Linked DNA regions of Sus scrofa. The main gene of each other region encodes a partner of the protein of the gene in region 2 in a complex. Links are inferred from orthologs where the notes say so. Each region holds a gene or a part of one and is shown on either strand. Other genes may lie near its edges.

Evidence for each region.
Region 1: the proteins of TLN1 (region 2) and PIP5K1C are in contact, whole or in part, in a crystal structure (PDB 1Y19), measured with the Mus musculus proteins. The link is inferred for Sus scrofa from reciprocal best matches to the Homo sapiens genes TLN1 and PIP5K1C. Residues at the interface, in NP_035732.2 of Mus musculus: Pro209, Val210, Gln211, Leu212, Leu214; in NP_032870.2 of Mus musculus: Pro646, Leu647, His648, Tyr649, Ser650, Ala651.
Region 3: the proteins of TLN1 (region 2) and APBB1IP are in contact, whole or in part, in a crystal structure (PDB 4W8P), measured with the Mus musculus proteins. The link is inferred for Sus scrofa from reciprocal best matches to the Homo sapiens genes TLN1 and APBB1IP. Residues at the interface, in NP_035732.2 of Mus musculus: Leu1492, Ala1495, Thr1496, Val1498, Ala1499, Thr1502, Ser1503, Cys1506, Asn1507, Arg1510, Val1526, Ala1529, Lys1530, Ala1533, Asn1534, Thr1536, Ala1537, Val1540, Ile1543, Lys1544, Asp1547; in NP_062329.2 of Mus musculus: Asn5, Ile8, Asp9, Met11, Phe12, Thr14, Leu15, Glu18, Met19, Leu21, Leu22, Ser25.

What each region holds. Positions count from the first base shown.
Region 1 is NC_010444.4:75,018,293-75,023,346, reverse strand, and holds part of PIP5K1C (phosphatidylinositol 4-phosphate 5-kinase type-1 gamma), read right to left. Parts: intron 4,540-5,054; coding exon 4,387-4,539; intron 2,977-4,386; coding exon 2,677-2,976; intron 1,605-2,676; coding exon 1,399-1,604; intron 1-1,398. UniProt on the Homo sapiens protein: Catalyzes the phosphorylation of phosphatidylinositol 4-phosphate (PtdIns(4)P/PI4P) to form phosphatidylinositol 4,5-bisphosphate (PtdIns(4,5)P2/PIP2), a lipid second messenger that regulates several cellular processes such as signal transduction, vesicle trafficking, actin cytoskeleton dynamics, cell adhesion, and cell motility.
Region 2 is NC_010443.5:236,432,799-236,437,852, reverse strand, and holds part of TLN1 (talin-1), read left to right. Parts: intron 1-190; coding exon 191-399; intron 400-562; coding exon 563-661; intron 662-1,061; coding exon of another isoform or gene 1,062-1,112; intron 1,113-1,665; coding exon 1,666-1,833; intron 1,834-2,023; coding exon 2,024-2,318; intron 2,319-2,766; coding exon 2,767-2,933; intron 2,934-3,779; coding exon 3,780-3,908; intron 3,909-4,345; coding exon 4,346-4,462; intron 4,463-4,563; coding exon 4,564-4,677; intron 4,678-4,880; coding exon 4,881-5,015; intron 5,016-5,054. UniProt on the Homo sapiens protein: High molecular weight cytoskeletal protein concentrated at regions of cell-matrix and cell-cell contacts. Involved in connections of major cytoskeletal structures to the plasma membrane.
Region 3 is NC_010452.4:49,169,240-49,174,293, forward strand, and holds part of APBB1IP (amyloid beta A4 precursor protein-binding family B member 1-interacting protein), read right to left. Parts: intron 4,140-5,054; coding exon 3,980-4,139; intron 1,855-3,979; coding exon 1,733-1,854; intron 1-1,732. UniProt on the Homo sapiens protein: Appears to function in the signal transduction from Ras activation to actin cytoskeletal remodeling. Suppresses insulin-induced promoter activities through AP1 and SRE. Mediates Rap1-induced adhesion.

The DNA.
Region 1 (5,054 bases), on a different chromosome or scaffold from region 2:
GCACATCCACACATGCATACGCAGAACTTGCATACACACACAAGGCACACGCACACACATGCTCACTCCCAGACAAGGCTTCTAGGTGCAGCCTGGAGAATTAATGGCCTCACGCAGCCCCAGGCCTAGCCTGCCCAGTGCAGTTAGTGAGGTCGCAGGAGGCAGCAGCTGTCCTAAGTCACCCCAGGCCCAGACCCCCCAGGCCCAGGCCCTCCCACAGGCTCTGCAGCCACACTCCACACCCGAGCTCACCTGCATGCCCTGCCATCCCGCCGGGCCCTGCAACAACCCTACAAATGCCAAACGGCTCAGCTCTGGGCCAGCTCATGTGTCCCCTACCCCACCCCAGTCACGACGCTGCAACTGGTGGCCCAGTGTGGCAGCCAGGCCAGGGTCATGCCTTGGCCCCACCCTCAGCCAGCTGTGTACCCGGATGGCTGCCCAACCTGAGCCTCCTTTCCCAAGTGCATGTGTGGGGACGCCACCCTCCTCCAGAGGCCCCATGAGGACTGAACAGGGTACAGAAGTGGGGGGCCCAGCTGGGTCCCAGCACGGTCAGTCTGTGGCGATAAGGGGACAATCTGGATATCTGTTTACTGCAACAGTTTCCACCTGGGGAGACTCTGCTCCCAGGGGACACTGATAATGTCTGGGGGACCTCTGGGGTTGTCACAACTTGGGGGCTCCTGGCATCGAGTGGGTGGGGGCCAGGAATGCTGCTCTACCCCCCATGGCGCCTGGACTGCCCCCAGAAAGGGACTCATTCCTACAAGTGAGCAGCTGGGGAAGAGGGGGTACCCTGTACCCAGATGGGAACTCTGCAAGTCCCCAGAGCAGGACCAGGTCAGCTGGGTGGGTGGGGCTGGGGGACATGTGCCTCTCTGAACACTGTGCCCTGGTCACCCCTCAGAGCCACATTGTCATCATCATCTTTGGGAAAGGGACATTCTCAGCCCTGCCCCTAGGGGGCGCTGGGTTCACTATCCTGCCATGAAAAGGCTCCCTCACCAGGGCTGTTTCCACCTTTTCCCCAGCCCTCTTTCAACACCTCTCCAGTTCAGCTTCTGAAGGCGGTGCTTTAACCGATGCTGGGTCCCCAGGGAGGGAGGGCTATCTGTGTTTCCCACAGGGATGGTCAACGACCTTTTCCACTGAGTAATCCAGACGCCACGGTTAGAACTTCTGGCTGCAGCTGTGTGTCCCCCGTCCAACCCTTGGACCTGGAACGGGGCGGGGTGGGGGCTACTGTCTGGTTTACAACCAAGAACCCACTCGAGGGGCTCCGGGACTCGGTCTCGTCCCTCTCGCCTTCTCACCAACTCGCCCCTCCCTCTGTCGCCTGGCGAGGGAGCAAGGGCGGAGACGAGAGCGGGAAGTCTCCCGGTCCCCACCACCTACGTGTCGTCTGTCTCGATGGCCTCCCCACGTGCCGCCCCGCCCTGGATGGACTCCATGGCCGTGGAGTAGAGCGCCTTCTGGCCCAGCGGCCGCTTCTCATCGGCGGTGCTCTGGGCGCCTTCAGCCTGCCGCTCCCGCTCCTGCTGGTCGATGTTGTGCACGCCCAGAAGCAGGCTGTAGTCCATGATCTTGAAGCTCTCCAGCACCTACGGGGCAGCGGTCAGGGGGATGCTCTGACCCCACACCCCACCCCGGCCTGGCGCCAACCCCAAGCGCATTCCTGGTCTGTGTCTGCTCAGTCCCCACAGCCTCACCGGGAGGCCCCGTCCTGGTCTCAGACCAGGCAACCGAGAGGACACAGAGGGTCAGTGGAACCTGGTGGGTGGGCCTGGGGTGTGGCTTCTGACCCAAAGCCAGGCTGCCTCTGGGCTGGCCCTGCACACATACAACCCCCACCAGCCCTCCGGCCACCAAGCCTCTCCAAGCCCTGAGGTGCAGCCCAGACACACAGACACCGGAGCTCTGAGGAGGGACTCCAAGAAGCTGGGGGCCCCTGAGATGTCTGGGGAGTTTGTGTCAAGTTTCCAAAGGGGTCTGGGAGCCAGGGGTGCAGCACAGGACTGCACCCCTGGCCTCCTTCATTTCCTCACCTCTAAGGCCAAGGCGGGTAGGGGTGGACTGAGGTCGCAAGGCCTGTGACCAACCTGGCACACGCTCTTTTTCCCTAAAAAGCAGCTGGCCATGGAGGGGTGGCCTGCAGCCCGCTTGGGCCTGCGTCTGAGGTGCACTTTACATCAAGAGCCTGAAAACACTGGGCTGCTTCTGAGGCTCTGACGCCTGCAGCAGGAACTTGGCCTGCGGTGGGGCTGGGGCGGGGTGGGGGTTGTGGATCTCGGGCTCACACTGCACCAGCTTTTACTAGAGTCTCCCCCCACCTTTTATTTGGTCTTTTGTCTTTTTTTTTTTAGGGCCACACCCGTGGCATGTGGAGGTTCCCAGGCTAGGGGTCTAATCGGAGCTATAGCCACTGGCTTACGCCAGAGCCATGGCAACGCCAGACCCGAGATGCATCTGTGACCTACACCACAGCTCACGGCAATGCCGGATCCTTAACCCACTGAGCGAGGCCAGGGATCAAACCTGCAACCTCATGGTTCCTAGTCAGATACGTTTCCACTGTGCCACGATGGGAACTCCTAGAGTCCCCGTTTGACAGGTGGGAAAACTGTGACTCAGAGATGGAGGGACACATCCCCAGCGATCCAGCCTTCTCCTCACCAGGCAGTCGCGCTGCAGCGTCTTGACCAGGGCGGAGAAAGTGTCAGCGTCGAGCATGAGCCCCTCGGGCATATCCTGGATAAAGTCCAGGTCCTTGTAGGTGGGGATGCTCTTCTCCTTCTCCTTCTTGCTGGCCCGCCGCTTGTATGTGGAGCCCTTGAGGTCGAACTTGAGGTGCATCTTGACCACGCGTGGCAGCACGTTGTTCATCACCACCACGCGGATGTTCTTGCCACCCGACTGCACGCAGTACAGCCCGTAGAACTTGGGCAGCAGCGTCCTCGGGTTCTGGTTGAGGTTCTGGGGAGACAGGGCAGGGGGCAGAGGGTGGAGGAGATGACGCTGGGAGCCGCTCCTGCATCCTGTGCAGCACCCCGTCCGCCCCTCACGTCTCAAGAAGCACCCCCTAACCACCTCCCCCAGGCTGGCCCCTCTCAGTGCCCCGAGTGCCCCATCTGTCCGCAGGTTCTGTCTGCTGGCCGCACTCTCCATCTCCCCATCTGACTGGAGGCATCAGGAAGGTCTGTTTCTAAAGTCAGGCCTAAGGAGAGACGGCCTTTTGATAAAGGGCCCCACGGGACACTCCCAAGGTATCTGGGCTTGGCTTCCCAGCAGGTTGGACGCAGGTGTCCCATCTCCCTAGCCTGCTCTACAGGGACCGGAGAGGGAGGTACTGCATCCAGGCATATGCAGGGCATGCGTCAGCAAACTCTGGCCCAAGGGCCAAATCCAGGCCACTTGTCTTTCTACAGCTGGGAGTTAAGAAAGGTTTTATATTCTAAAAAAAAAAAAAAAAAAAAAATATATATATATATATATATATATATACATATACACACATATTTTTTTTTAAAAAAAGGCCAATAACACTGAAGAAAAATAGCGTCCTATGATGTGAAAATTATACAAAATGCTCACATCAGTGCCCACAAATACACTTTTATTGGCCCTCGGCCACACCCACTCACTCTCGCCTTGTCTGTGGCAGCTTCCCCACTGCGACGGCAGAGCAGTGGACACAGTCTCACAAAGCTCACAATGCTGAGGATGCTTCCTACCTGGATCTTTACGAAAGAAGTTTGCCGACCCTCAGTCTAGGACAGCCAGGGGTCCTACCTGGGATCACACATGGCAGGGGTAGGTGGAGACCCCACAGGAGATACGGGTGCAGAATGCTGGGGGCCGGACCCCATGCCCACCAGGCTAGGCTCAGTGGGAGGCCCCCACCCCATCCGTTGTATCAGCCCCCCACCGCTGGGGGCCAAGAAGTCTGAGGCCCCTGCTCCCGCCCCCGCCCAGGGCCCTAAGTGCAGAGTGCCCTTTCTGTTGGTGAGTCACATGCAGACAGGAGGTGCCAGCTGGCAGGCACCCCTGCCCACCTCCCCAGTGTCTCTCTGAGTCACCAGCTGCCAAGATATGAGTCCCAAAGCCATGATTTTGGGGACCCACAAGTCAAGGGACTGGGTGGTGATGGATGGCCACCAGGACCCAGATGGCTACTCCTGCTCACCATGGAGGGGGCCCCTTGGGTGAGGCTATGACCCAGGAAGGCATGTCTTGGCCTGCCCAGAGGGGGCGTTACCCAGAGGGGGTGTCACCCCGAGGGGGTGTCACCCAGAGGGGTTGGTGCCCAGAGTGGGTGGTGGCCCAGGCTGGCTGCCTGGGCAGAGGGAGAAGGGGTGTGAGACCTGTGGGGGGTCATGCCCCTACCATGTAGTATCCAGGCAGCAGCTTTTGCAGGAACTCAGCCTCCTTATGCATCACAGTCTTGATGATGAACTCATCGTCGCTGGTGACATAGAAGAGGGAGCCGCTGGCACCAGGGTTGGACAGCTCGATGAGTGGCTCATTGCACAGCGAGTACTGAAAACGGGGGCAGTGAGGAGGCGGGGTGGGTCATCGACACCCCCAGGGGCCCAGGGGATGGAGGACAACCCTGGAAGTGGTCACCGCGGCTCTGTTTTACAGATGAGGATGCTGAGGCTCATCGAGGGGGACAGACTTGTCCAAGGCCACACGCAAGGACTCAAACCCGGGCTAACCCTGCAGCCCGAGTGCCAACCTGCTAGATCGTGTTCCCTGTCCTGTGAGCTGTGACTGCCTCCCAGGCCCCTGCTCTGGCCAGTGAGTCATAAACACAAGCTGCTACTCGGGGTCTGGGGAAGGTTGCCTAAAGGGGTGGCAGAAGCTGGGGCGCCTCCTGTTTGCACCCCTCTCTCCTTCCCACCTGGAATGCTACCTGGGACCCAGCAACCATACTGGACCACATGGTGACCTTGGGGATGGAAGCCAGCCACCAGGAACAGCAAAGACACAAAGACACAAGCTGTGCATCTGGTGAGCTGCCTCCCCCAGACCCTCCCACCTCTCTTCCCACC
Region 2 (5,054 bases):
TGTGTGTCTAAGTGACTCTGCAAGTGTGACTGCGAGTGGCTCAGGTGTGATTGCAGCATGACTCATGGCAGGGACTGTGTGTGCGTCTATCTCAGGACGTGTGTGTGTGTGAAACTGACTGTGCTCCTCCCTAGACCGTCGCCTCTCCTGCCCTGCCCCTCACCCGTGCTCCTCTTCCCCCACTCCCCAGGGGACCCCGCCGAGACAGACTACACTGCGGTGGGCTGCGCAGTCACCACAATCTCCTCCAACCTGACGGAGATGTCCCGCGGCGTGAAGCTGCTGGCCGCCCTGCTGGAGGATGAAGGTGGCAGTGGCCGGCCCCTGCTGCAGGCAGCGAAGGGCCTGGCTGGGGCAGTGTCGGAACTGCTGCGCACCGCCCAGCCGGCCAGTGCTGAGGTCAGGGCCAGGGGTGGACACTAGGGAGAGGCGAGGGTTTGAGCCCAAGGAGAGGAGGGCGGTCCAGGTTGTGGGGTGGAAGTACGAGACCCCTGGGCCTGTAGGACCTGAGGACCTGTGGGTGGGGATCGGGCAGCTTCTGACTGGTGTTCACTCTCCACAGCCCCGTCAGAACCTGCTGCAAGCAGCTGGGAACGTGGGCCAGGCCAGTGGGGAGCTGTTGCAGCAAATTGGGGAAAGTGATACTGACCCCCACTTCCAGGTTGGTGACTTACCCAACCCCCAGAACCCCAGTTTCTAGGAGGTGACCTCTGATCCTGAATCCAGCTGCTCGTCCTCAGCTACGATAAATTGACCCCTCGGAGCCAAGCTGAACCTCTGTCTCCAGGGATGACACTGGGAACCTCCCGTCCCTTTTGGGGGGATAAGAATTCCGAACCCCTAAATCCAAACTTAATCTGTAGGTTCACCCTTGGCCTTTACTGGTGATATTTTATTGGCCGCCTGTCATCTTTCCCTGTCTTGCCCAACTGAAGGCATCTCGGACCCCCTCTTCCAATCCGTTAGGCCACATGCCCTGAGGACACTGTTCCTCTCGTGCCCCCTTCCCCACCCCCTGCCAGTGTCCTCAGCTGATTTGTCATCCTGGATTTCCCACGCAGATATGTGCACCCAGAGGGGCTGGGGTTCGATCTCCCCCCGATCCCCCCACGGTAATGGCCTCTGGCCTGGACCTTCCCAGCTCTGTCCTCTCTGAGCCGCATACACTCGCTCTGCCCCCTCCCCAGGCCTCCTGGGGGAGCAGACCGTGACGGGAGCTGGGGAGGCACGGCACAGGCAGGACTTGAGAAAATGGGATCAGGGAGGGTAGAGACTTGCTCCCCGGGGTGACTGCTTCTACCCAAGATTGAGACGAAGCGGAGGAAAGACGCTAGGGGCAGGGGGGACCCCAGAGGTCCCTCCTCCGTCTGTCCCGTTGAAACAGCACTGCCCGCCTGCCCTCCCCATCGCCGTCCGAGTGTATCCGCCTCATGCATCTCTTCCTTTGGTGTAGGCTCTGTTTCTCTCGGTGTGGGTTTGTTCCTCGGTGGGGGTTCTGTCCTACTCGGTGCTCGAGGCAGGGGCTTGGGGTAGGTTCCGGTTGCTTCTGCACATACGGTGCTGTGATTGGAGTCCGTGGGATTAATGAAACCGCTTATGCCTCCAAGGAGGGTCTGTGGAACCCAAGGTGGATCTCAGGCCGTGCTGACCGCTGCTTTCTCACAGGACGTGCTCATGCAACTAGCCAAGGCTGTGGCAAGCGCTGCAGCTGCCCTGGTCCTCAAGGCCAAGAGTGTGGCCCAGCGCACAGAGGACTCGGGGCTTCAGACCCAGGTTATTGCTGCGGCAACACAGTGTGCCCTGTCCACCTCCCAGCTGGTGGCCTGTACCAAGGTGAGCCCCAGAGGTTGCTCCAGCCTGTGCTGAGGGGTGATGCTGTCACACATACGGGAGCCTCTCATGTTATCACTTTGGTCCCCGAGGCCTCACTACCCAAACAAATGACTGTTGTGAAGGCCATCAACACCCCACCCTCCCGACTCCTTGCCCTCGTCTACCTCTCTGACACTCGCTTTGCCCACAGGTGGTGGCACCTACGATCAGCTCCCCTGTCTGCCAAGAACAGCTGGTGGAAGCCGGTCGACTAGTGGCCAAAGCCGTGGAGGGCTGTGTGTCCGCCTCCCAGGCCGCCACAGAAGATGGGCAGCTGTTGCGAGGAGTGGGAGCGGCAGCCACAGCTGTCACCCAGGCCCTGAATGAGCTGTTGCAGCACGTGAGGGCCCACGCCACAGGGGCCGGGCCTGCTGGCCGCTATGACCAGGCCACTGACACCATTCTCACTGTCACTGAGAACATCTTTAGCTCCATGGGCGATGCTGGTAAGGACACTCTCCCCCAGGAGACAGAGAGCCCAACGAGGTTCCCAGGCCCCTTGGACATTTCCCTTGCAGATCCACCCCCCTCCCCCTGACTCAGCACAGCAGGCTGGGTGTTGAACAGCTGAAACCTCCAGCTGGTTCCCCATATGTAAAACAGGAATATAATCTCTCTGCCTTCCTTGGTGCATTTAAATAACAAACCACAGTGTACACAAAAAGAGAAAGTGGCTTTATTAAGAGTTAGCTGCCCTTACGCCACTCCTTCACCCCCAAAATCCTTCACCAAGAGCCTCATCCTCTCATAACTCCAGGGAAGTCACTTCAAGAACTTTTTTGTCTCTCCTGACTATCCCTAAGAGCCCCACTGGCCTCATCTGCACCACGTCCCTCTCTCTAACACCCTCTCAGTGTCTCTGCTCCCTTCTCTGACTTTGCCTGTGTGTCTCAGGTGAGATGGTGCGACAGGCGCGCATCCTGGCCCAAGCCACCTCTGACCTGGTCAATGCCATCAAGGCTGATGCCGAGGGGGAGAGCGATCTGGAGAATTCCCGCAAGCTATTAAGCGCCGCCAAGATCCTGGCCGACGCCACAGCCAAGATGGTGGAGGCTGCCAAGGTAGAGAGCCTTCTGTGCAGACCCCAGACCGGGGCCCGGAGGGAAGTAGAAAGGTCCCGATGGTCACCCCCATTTACGGGAGAGACCCAGGAAAAGCAGAAGATACAAGACAGCACATATGGGAGCACTGAGGGAGTAAATGCACCCTAGGCAGCGGGCGGGTGGCGCCAGGCTGCCAGCCAGTGTAACGCCCAGAGTCCTCACTGACGAACGGGAAACAGTGCCCTTTTCCTTCTGAGTCCAAGGTCTGCACTTCCTACTTTCCCCTACTTTGCTGCCACCACCTGCCTGCTTCCTGGATCCCTCTGCTTCCTGGGCTTCTGTGAATGCACACGAGCATTAGTCCTGGGGGCTCCGCGCTAGCCGCACAGAGAAGGACAAGGCAGTCGGACACAGGGACACAAGGTTGCAGAGGACCATGAGGAAGAAGCCAAAAGATTCCTGGGCTCTGGGGCTCTTCAGTTTGCAGGAACAACCAGGGCCCCTGCTATCGGACCCTTGAGATCCCTGCTCTAAACTGTGTCCTCCTTGTTCCAGAGAGCCCTGCTCATCCCCGTTTGCAGTAGTATTTTGTGGGGAGTGAGGAAGAAATCTGGCCCCTTCCCTAAAGCGGGGAAGCACAAACAGTTCTACCTGAGGAAGGGCTTTCAGCATCACAGATGGAAGCCAGGGTCCCCCCGAGGCTCCCCATCTGCCCACCAGAGGCAGCCCATCTCAACCACCTTTCAGCGGGGATAGTTAGAAATGATTTCAGGAAAATATACTTGAGTTTGGAGGGGTCAGAGAAGAGCTTATTGAGGATCCACAGAGATGCTGGGCGTAACTGTCCCTCCCACCACCTCTCAGGGAGCAGCCGCCCATCCTGACAGTGAGGAGCAGCAGCAGCGCCTTCGCGAAGCAGCTGAAGGTCTCCGCATGGCGACCAACGTGGCTGCACAGAATGCCATCAAGAAGAAGCTGGTGCAGCGCCTGGAGGTGAGGCTGGAAAACAGGCTAGTGTAGGTGCTGTAGGAGGAATGAACCTGGGAGGGATGTGTGGAGAAAGGGTTAATATTTCCTTGGGGGAGGGAGTTCCCGTCATGGCGCAGCGGAAATGAATCTGATGAGGAACCATGAGGTTGCAGGTTCAACCCCTGGCCTCACTCAGTGGGTTAAGGATCCGGCATTGCCGTGAGCTGTGGTGTAGGTCGCAGACATGGCTCAGATCTGGTGTCGCTGTGGCTCTGGCGTAGGCTGGCAGCTGTAGCTCCGATTAGACCCCTAGCTTGGGAATCTCCATGTGCCGCGAGGGCAGCCCTAAAAAGCAAAAAAAAAAAAAAAGAAAATTTCCTTAGGGGATATCGTGGGCAGGGTAAGCCAAGGATCAGGTATGGGAATGTCTGGGCCTTGTCCTCACTATTCTGCCCTTAAAGCACGCAGCCAAGCAGGCTGCAGCCTCGGCTACACAGACCATCGCTGCCGCCCAACATGCTGCCTCCACCCCCAAGACCACAGCTGGCCCCCAGCCACTGCTGGTGCAGAGCTGCAAGGTGAGATGCCAGGAAGCATGCGGGGGCGGGAGGCGGCCTGTGGGGAGGGGGAAGTCCCCCCGCCTGTGGGGAAGTGGCTCTCATAACCTTTTCACCAACAGGCTGTGGCAGAGCAGATTCCACTGCTGGTGCAGGGCGTCCGAGGGAGCCAAGCCCAGCCCGACAGTCCCAGCGCTCAGCTCGCCCTCATTGCCGCCAGCCAGAGCTTCCTGCAGGCAAGGCACCCTCCGCTCACCACTCACCAGACCCTTCCCACTCTCTCCTCCAAGAGCTCTGATGTAGTCAAGTTAAATCTCAGCCATAGTCTCTCTTCCAATACTGAGCCCAATGCTCACCACATCCTGACCATCATCAGGCCCCTGTACCCAGGCCCAGAGGGCATATGGTGCACTTCAGCTGCCCACCTGTTCCCCAACAGCCAGGTGGGAAGATGGTGGCAGCCGCGAAGGCCTCGGTGCCAACAATTCAGGACCAGGCTTCAGCCATGCAGCTGAGTCAGTGTGCGAAAAACCTCGGCACTGCGTTGGCCGAACTCCGTACCGCTGCCCAGAAGGTATGGAAGCTGGCCGTCTCTTGGGAAGATGAGGGTGGG
Region 3 (5,054 bases), on a different chromosome or scaffold from region 2:
TCTATATTGTTCTTAGCCAATTAGGCTTGCTTGGCATCTGTTCCTAAAGTTTTGGGGCTTGTGGTGAAGGACTGGGGAGTGAAGAGAGCGTAAACCAATGGCCTAAGGCCACGGCGGCCAGCCAGGAAGACCAGGACCTGTTCCAGCATCCATGCGTCCTAAGTGGGGTCAGGCCTCCGCCAGCTCTGACTCACACTGGGATGGTGGAAACAAACACAACACATCACAGGCTGAATACAGTGAACACCACCCTCGGCTGCGATTAGTGGCTTCAGAATTTTCCATCAAACCATAACCTTCCGCGAATGGCATTTCACTCACCATTTGCATTTCGATAAATCATTTTTCTGCAAGAATGAACCTTAGACTTCAGCTTTTCCACCCACAAGGAGTGGGGCAGACTCCATGCAACAAGCTCAATCATGACCACAAAGCTGAATCCAATGGTGGCAAGAAAATGCAGCGTTATAGAAAAGAAATTTAGAATAGAATACAACTATACAGGCAAAGTAAGCACAGGTGATTGAGCCCGGATTTTAAAATTTTTCATTATTTATTTATTATTATTATTTTTGCTTTTTTTTGGGGGGGGGGCTGCACCCATGGCATATGGAAGTTTCCCAGGCTGGGGGTCAAATCGGAGCTACAGCTGTCAGTCTAAACCACAGCCACAGAGACACGAGATCCGAGCTGTGTCTGTGACCTACACCACAGCTCACGGCAACACCGGATCCTTAGTCTGCTGAGTGAGGCCAGGGTTCGAACCTGTGTCCTCATGGATCCTAGTCAGGTTCGTTAATTGCTGAGCCATGAAGGGAACTCCTGAGCCTGGAGTTTTTTAAAATAACAAAATGTCAGAAACTGAGCAAGCAGCCAGAAAATATATTTTAAATAAATCTCATGCAGTCATGACTGCATGAACTCATGACTGGAAACATTCATTTTTGACCTGGTTTTTTTTCATTTTTTTAATTTTAACCAATATACTATTTCAAATCAATTTCTTTCCACCAGTTTATCTGAACGTGTTGTCACTCCCTGTCTTCCCGCCCCCATGGTCCAGCTGTACAACTACCCAGGACCTAAAGGAACTCCCCTCTTTCCTCTTGGACTCGGCACACACCCCCTCCTGGAAGGCTCGATTCCAATCCACTCTTCACCTAGTTAACTCTAACCAATTTCCTAGGTGAGTGCTAGGAGGTAACATTCTCCGACTAAACTTCGCTGCCCACCGTGCACAATTACCATTGGCTGGGGACAACCACGGGGCAAGTCTGGGACACCCTTGTATGCAGGGCTTGAGGAAGCTTTTTCAAATATGGAGAACAAGGCTTTTTCCTTTGTAGACTGTGTGTAGAGCCGTACATCTTCTGGGCACTCTCTTTACATATCCCAACATCAATAAGCACCAAATATGAACAACAAAGGAAAGGGTAGGTTTAAAATAAGAGTGTTAATGGCTCAGAGTGCATCAGCAGACATTGCAGCCAAACAGATATAAGGACAAGAGAGGAGGATCAGTCAACGGAGAGGTGGATTCTGGAAGCTGACTCAAAAGAGGTGAAATGATTCTCTCTCAAAGGGGTTCCTAGTTTGCCTCTGGCCTAAGAACTGAGTTTGTGTTTCTGTGAAAGGAATGTATTTGTGATATTTCGTGAGATGTGGTGAGGACACAGGTGACATTAAAAAAATGGATATTTTACATGTTTTAACAATATATGAGTTCTCTTACCTGGGGGTTTTTAAATACAGCATATTTTTCCTCTTTTTCCAAAAACAGCACTTTATTTTCTGTGTCTCTTGTCCAGTTTGATAAGACTTCAACAACATTTTCATGGTCTTCAAAAAACCTTTCTGATGAAACAAGAAAAAGCATTCTTTCAGACCCAAGACATCAGAGTTTCTAACAGAGAAATAAGCTGGTACTTAGCTAACACAAGGCTTCATACTTCTCCTGGGTTCTCAGAAATTCCTCAGTCTTACATGATGTTACATTGTAATGTTTCTCTTATGTTTATTCTTTGGTCTCAGGTCTTCAACTTATTTTCCATAGAAAACATGGCAGTTGAACCTACAATATACTGAAAATGGTCAGCCACTGCTCTTTTTTCCATATTAGAACTTTTTTTCTTTTTAAGGGCTGCACCTGCAGCATATGGAAGTGCCCAGGGTAGGGGGCGTATCAGAGCCACAACTGCCAGGCCTACCCCACAGCCATGGCCATGCCAGATCCTTAACCCACTGAGTGAGGCCAGGGATAGAGCCTGTGTCCTCATGGATACTAGTCAGGTTTGTTACTGCTGAGCCAGGAAGGGAACTCCATATTAGAACCTTTGACTATTTGAAATAGTCCCAGGTGGAGGTAACATTCTATCTGGAAGGCAGAGAGGCAATAATTAGTCAGATAACTATGAACGAAATTGCCAGATAAGTGATGAGTACTATAAATACCGATCCCTAAAACTCTAAAAAGAATGCACAACTGTTGGAATCAACGCTAAACCTTCCTTTAGAGGGCTTTCATTTCCGTTTGAGTCAGGGAGTTGAAAACGTCAAGAAGTGTTTCAGTGTAGACCATTTCCCCCACAGCTTTAAAAACTGGCAATTCTGTATCCAACAAGCTCCCCCGGTGGGGGGTGGGGGGTGGGGACAGATTTTTCTGTGAGTGGTATTAAGAACGAGCAGCAAGGAGTTCCACTGTGGCGCCATGGAAATGAATCCGACCAGTATCCATGAGGATGTGGGTTCGATCCCTGGCCTTGCTCAGTGGGTTAAGGATCTGGCATTGCCGTGAGCTGTGGTGTAGGTTGCAGATGTGGCTCGGATCCTGGGTTGCTGTGGCTGTGGCACAGCACACAGCATCTGTAGCACTGATTGGACTCCTGGCCTGGGAACTTCTCTATGCTGAGGGTGCAGCTCTAAAAAAAAAAAAGAATGAGCATTAAAACAGTATTTTTATAATTCATTTCTTTTCAGATATTCCTTTATTTCAAGGATTTTTGGGGGGTAACTTTTTCAAATTTTTTAATTAATTAATTTTGGCTGCATCCATGGCACATGGAAGTTCCTGGGCCAGGGACTGAATCCACGCTGCACCTGCAACCTACACCACAGCTGCAGCAATACCAGATCCTTAATCCACTGTGCCACAGTGGGAACTCCAATTTTTTATTTTGTTTATTGAAGTATTGCTGATTTACAATGTTTCAGGTGTATAGCAAAATGACTCAGTCATACATATATATGTACTTTTTCAGATTCTTCTCCATTATAGGTTATTATAAGATATGGAATACAGTTTCCTGTGCTATCTAGTAGGTCCTTGCTGTTCATCTATGTTATATATGGTAGTGTATATTTCTTAATTCCAAATTCCAAATTTAGTCTCCCCCCCTTTTCCCCTTTGGTAACTATAAGTTTGTTTTCTGTGTCTGTGAGTCTATTTCTGTTTAACTTTTTCTTTTAACTCCATCAATTTCTATCAACTGTCTTTTGTTTTATGGGGGCTGAGGCTTTTCCACTAGAAGGGATCAGAAATTGAGTGAGTGGGGAGAGGAAATGGACAGTGATATGACACCCATGGCAGACTGACCCTATAGTTTAAAAAAGCAAACTCTAAAGAGGCATTGGCTGACAGATACGCAGGCCCCCACCCATCTGCTCAGCTTGCTAAGCATGCAGTCAGAAGCATCATCCTGCCACTTTCTTTCCCTTTGCATCCACCAGGGCAGTTGCAGCAGTAACACTTACATTCCCCAAGGTCTGGCTGGCCACCTGTTCCAATCTGAGTCTCTTCACCACAAATGAAGAGACAAGCACTGAACCTGACATAAGGAAAGTGATTGTGTGGGCAATCTGGATAGCCTTGAACCAAACTCTTCTCAGGAACAGACCAAAACCCAGAGTAAAGTCACAGGTTTGTGCGGGGGTGGGGTGGGAGTGTGTGGGGGTGCAGCCTATCGCTGGGAATGGGACTTACCGATCTGTAGTTCTGGGTATATTTCATAAAGGCACCAATCCACGTTGCAGTCGCAGTGGGTTTTCTCAAAAAGGTTGTCTAGGACATCTCGGGCTAATTGCCGCTCATCCACCATCAGCGACTTTGTGCTGTTATCATTCATGTGTACCTTGACAACGAGCTGAGGGCAAAGTCATAGGGAAGCCAGTAAATGCCAGCAACTGGAAAGGCTATCCATGAAGGTTAAGCTTTCAAAAATGACACTGCCTTTGTGAATTTAAGTAAGAAGGTGTCCCGCAAACGCATCCAGTATGAATTCACTCATATGACAAGCACTTGTGTAAGGTGCTACGAATATGGATGTAGAGAAACCAATTTGCAAAAATGGAAATAAACACAGAGTAAGCAAAGCCCTTGTCTAGACTTCAAAGACTCTGTATTCTGGTGAGGGAGACAGAAAACCAAGAGAACCAAAGAAGTGCTGACTGCCTGCCTTCCTGACATCTTTCTAGCACTTGTTCGTCCCGCAGCCCAGAAGCAGCGTGTATCTTTATAATAAATACTTCGCTCTTGCTTAACTGCAGTTGAGTCCCATTTCATGTAACCCAGGAGTTCTGAGACACAGATAAAAGCAAACTAGTTAATCTACAATTCTTTGAAGGTGTGGGGGGGTACAGGGTGACACAGTGTCACCGAGGGGTCTTACTGAGAAGGCAGGTGGAGTCACAGAAGAACACACTGGATTATAGGTGGATTAAACCAAATCAACGGAGACTGAGAAAAAGCTATTGTGATGGCATGCAGGCAAACTAGTGATATAATTTATTTTTCATTCCATTAAAAAATTCTACTGCATTGAGTCCGCAGTCAAATTGGTAGCTATCTCATTTCAAATCTGGAGGGTTAAGTGGGAGCAGAACTTACTCATCTTCAATAAAGACAAAAGATTTCATTGATATTTCCCAGACAACTTGCCAAGGTTATTAAAATTTCCGATCCCTAAGATTCTAATGCAAAATAACAGAATTGGAGTTCCCATTGTGGCTCAGTGGGTTAAGAACTCAACATTGTGTCCTTGAGGATGCAGGTTTGATCC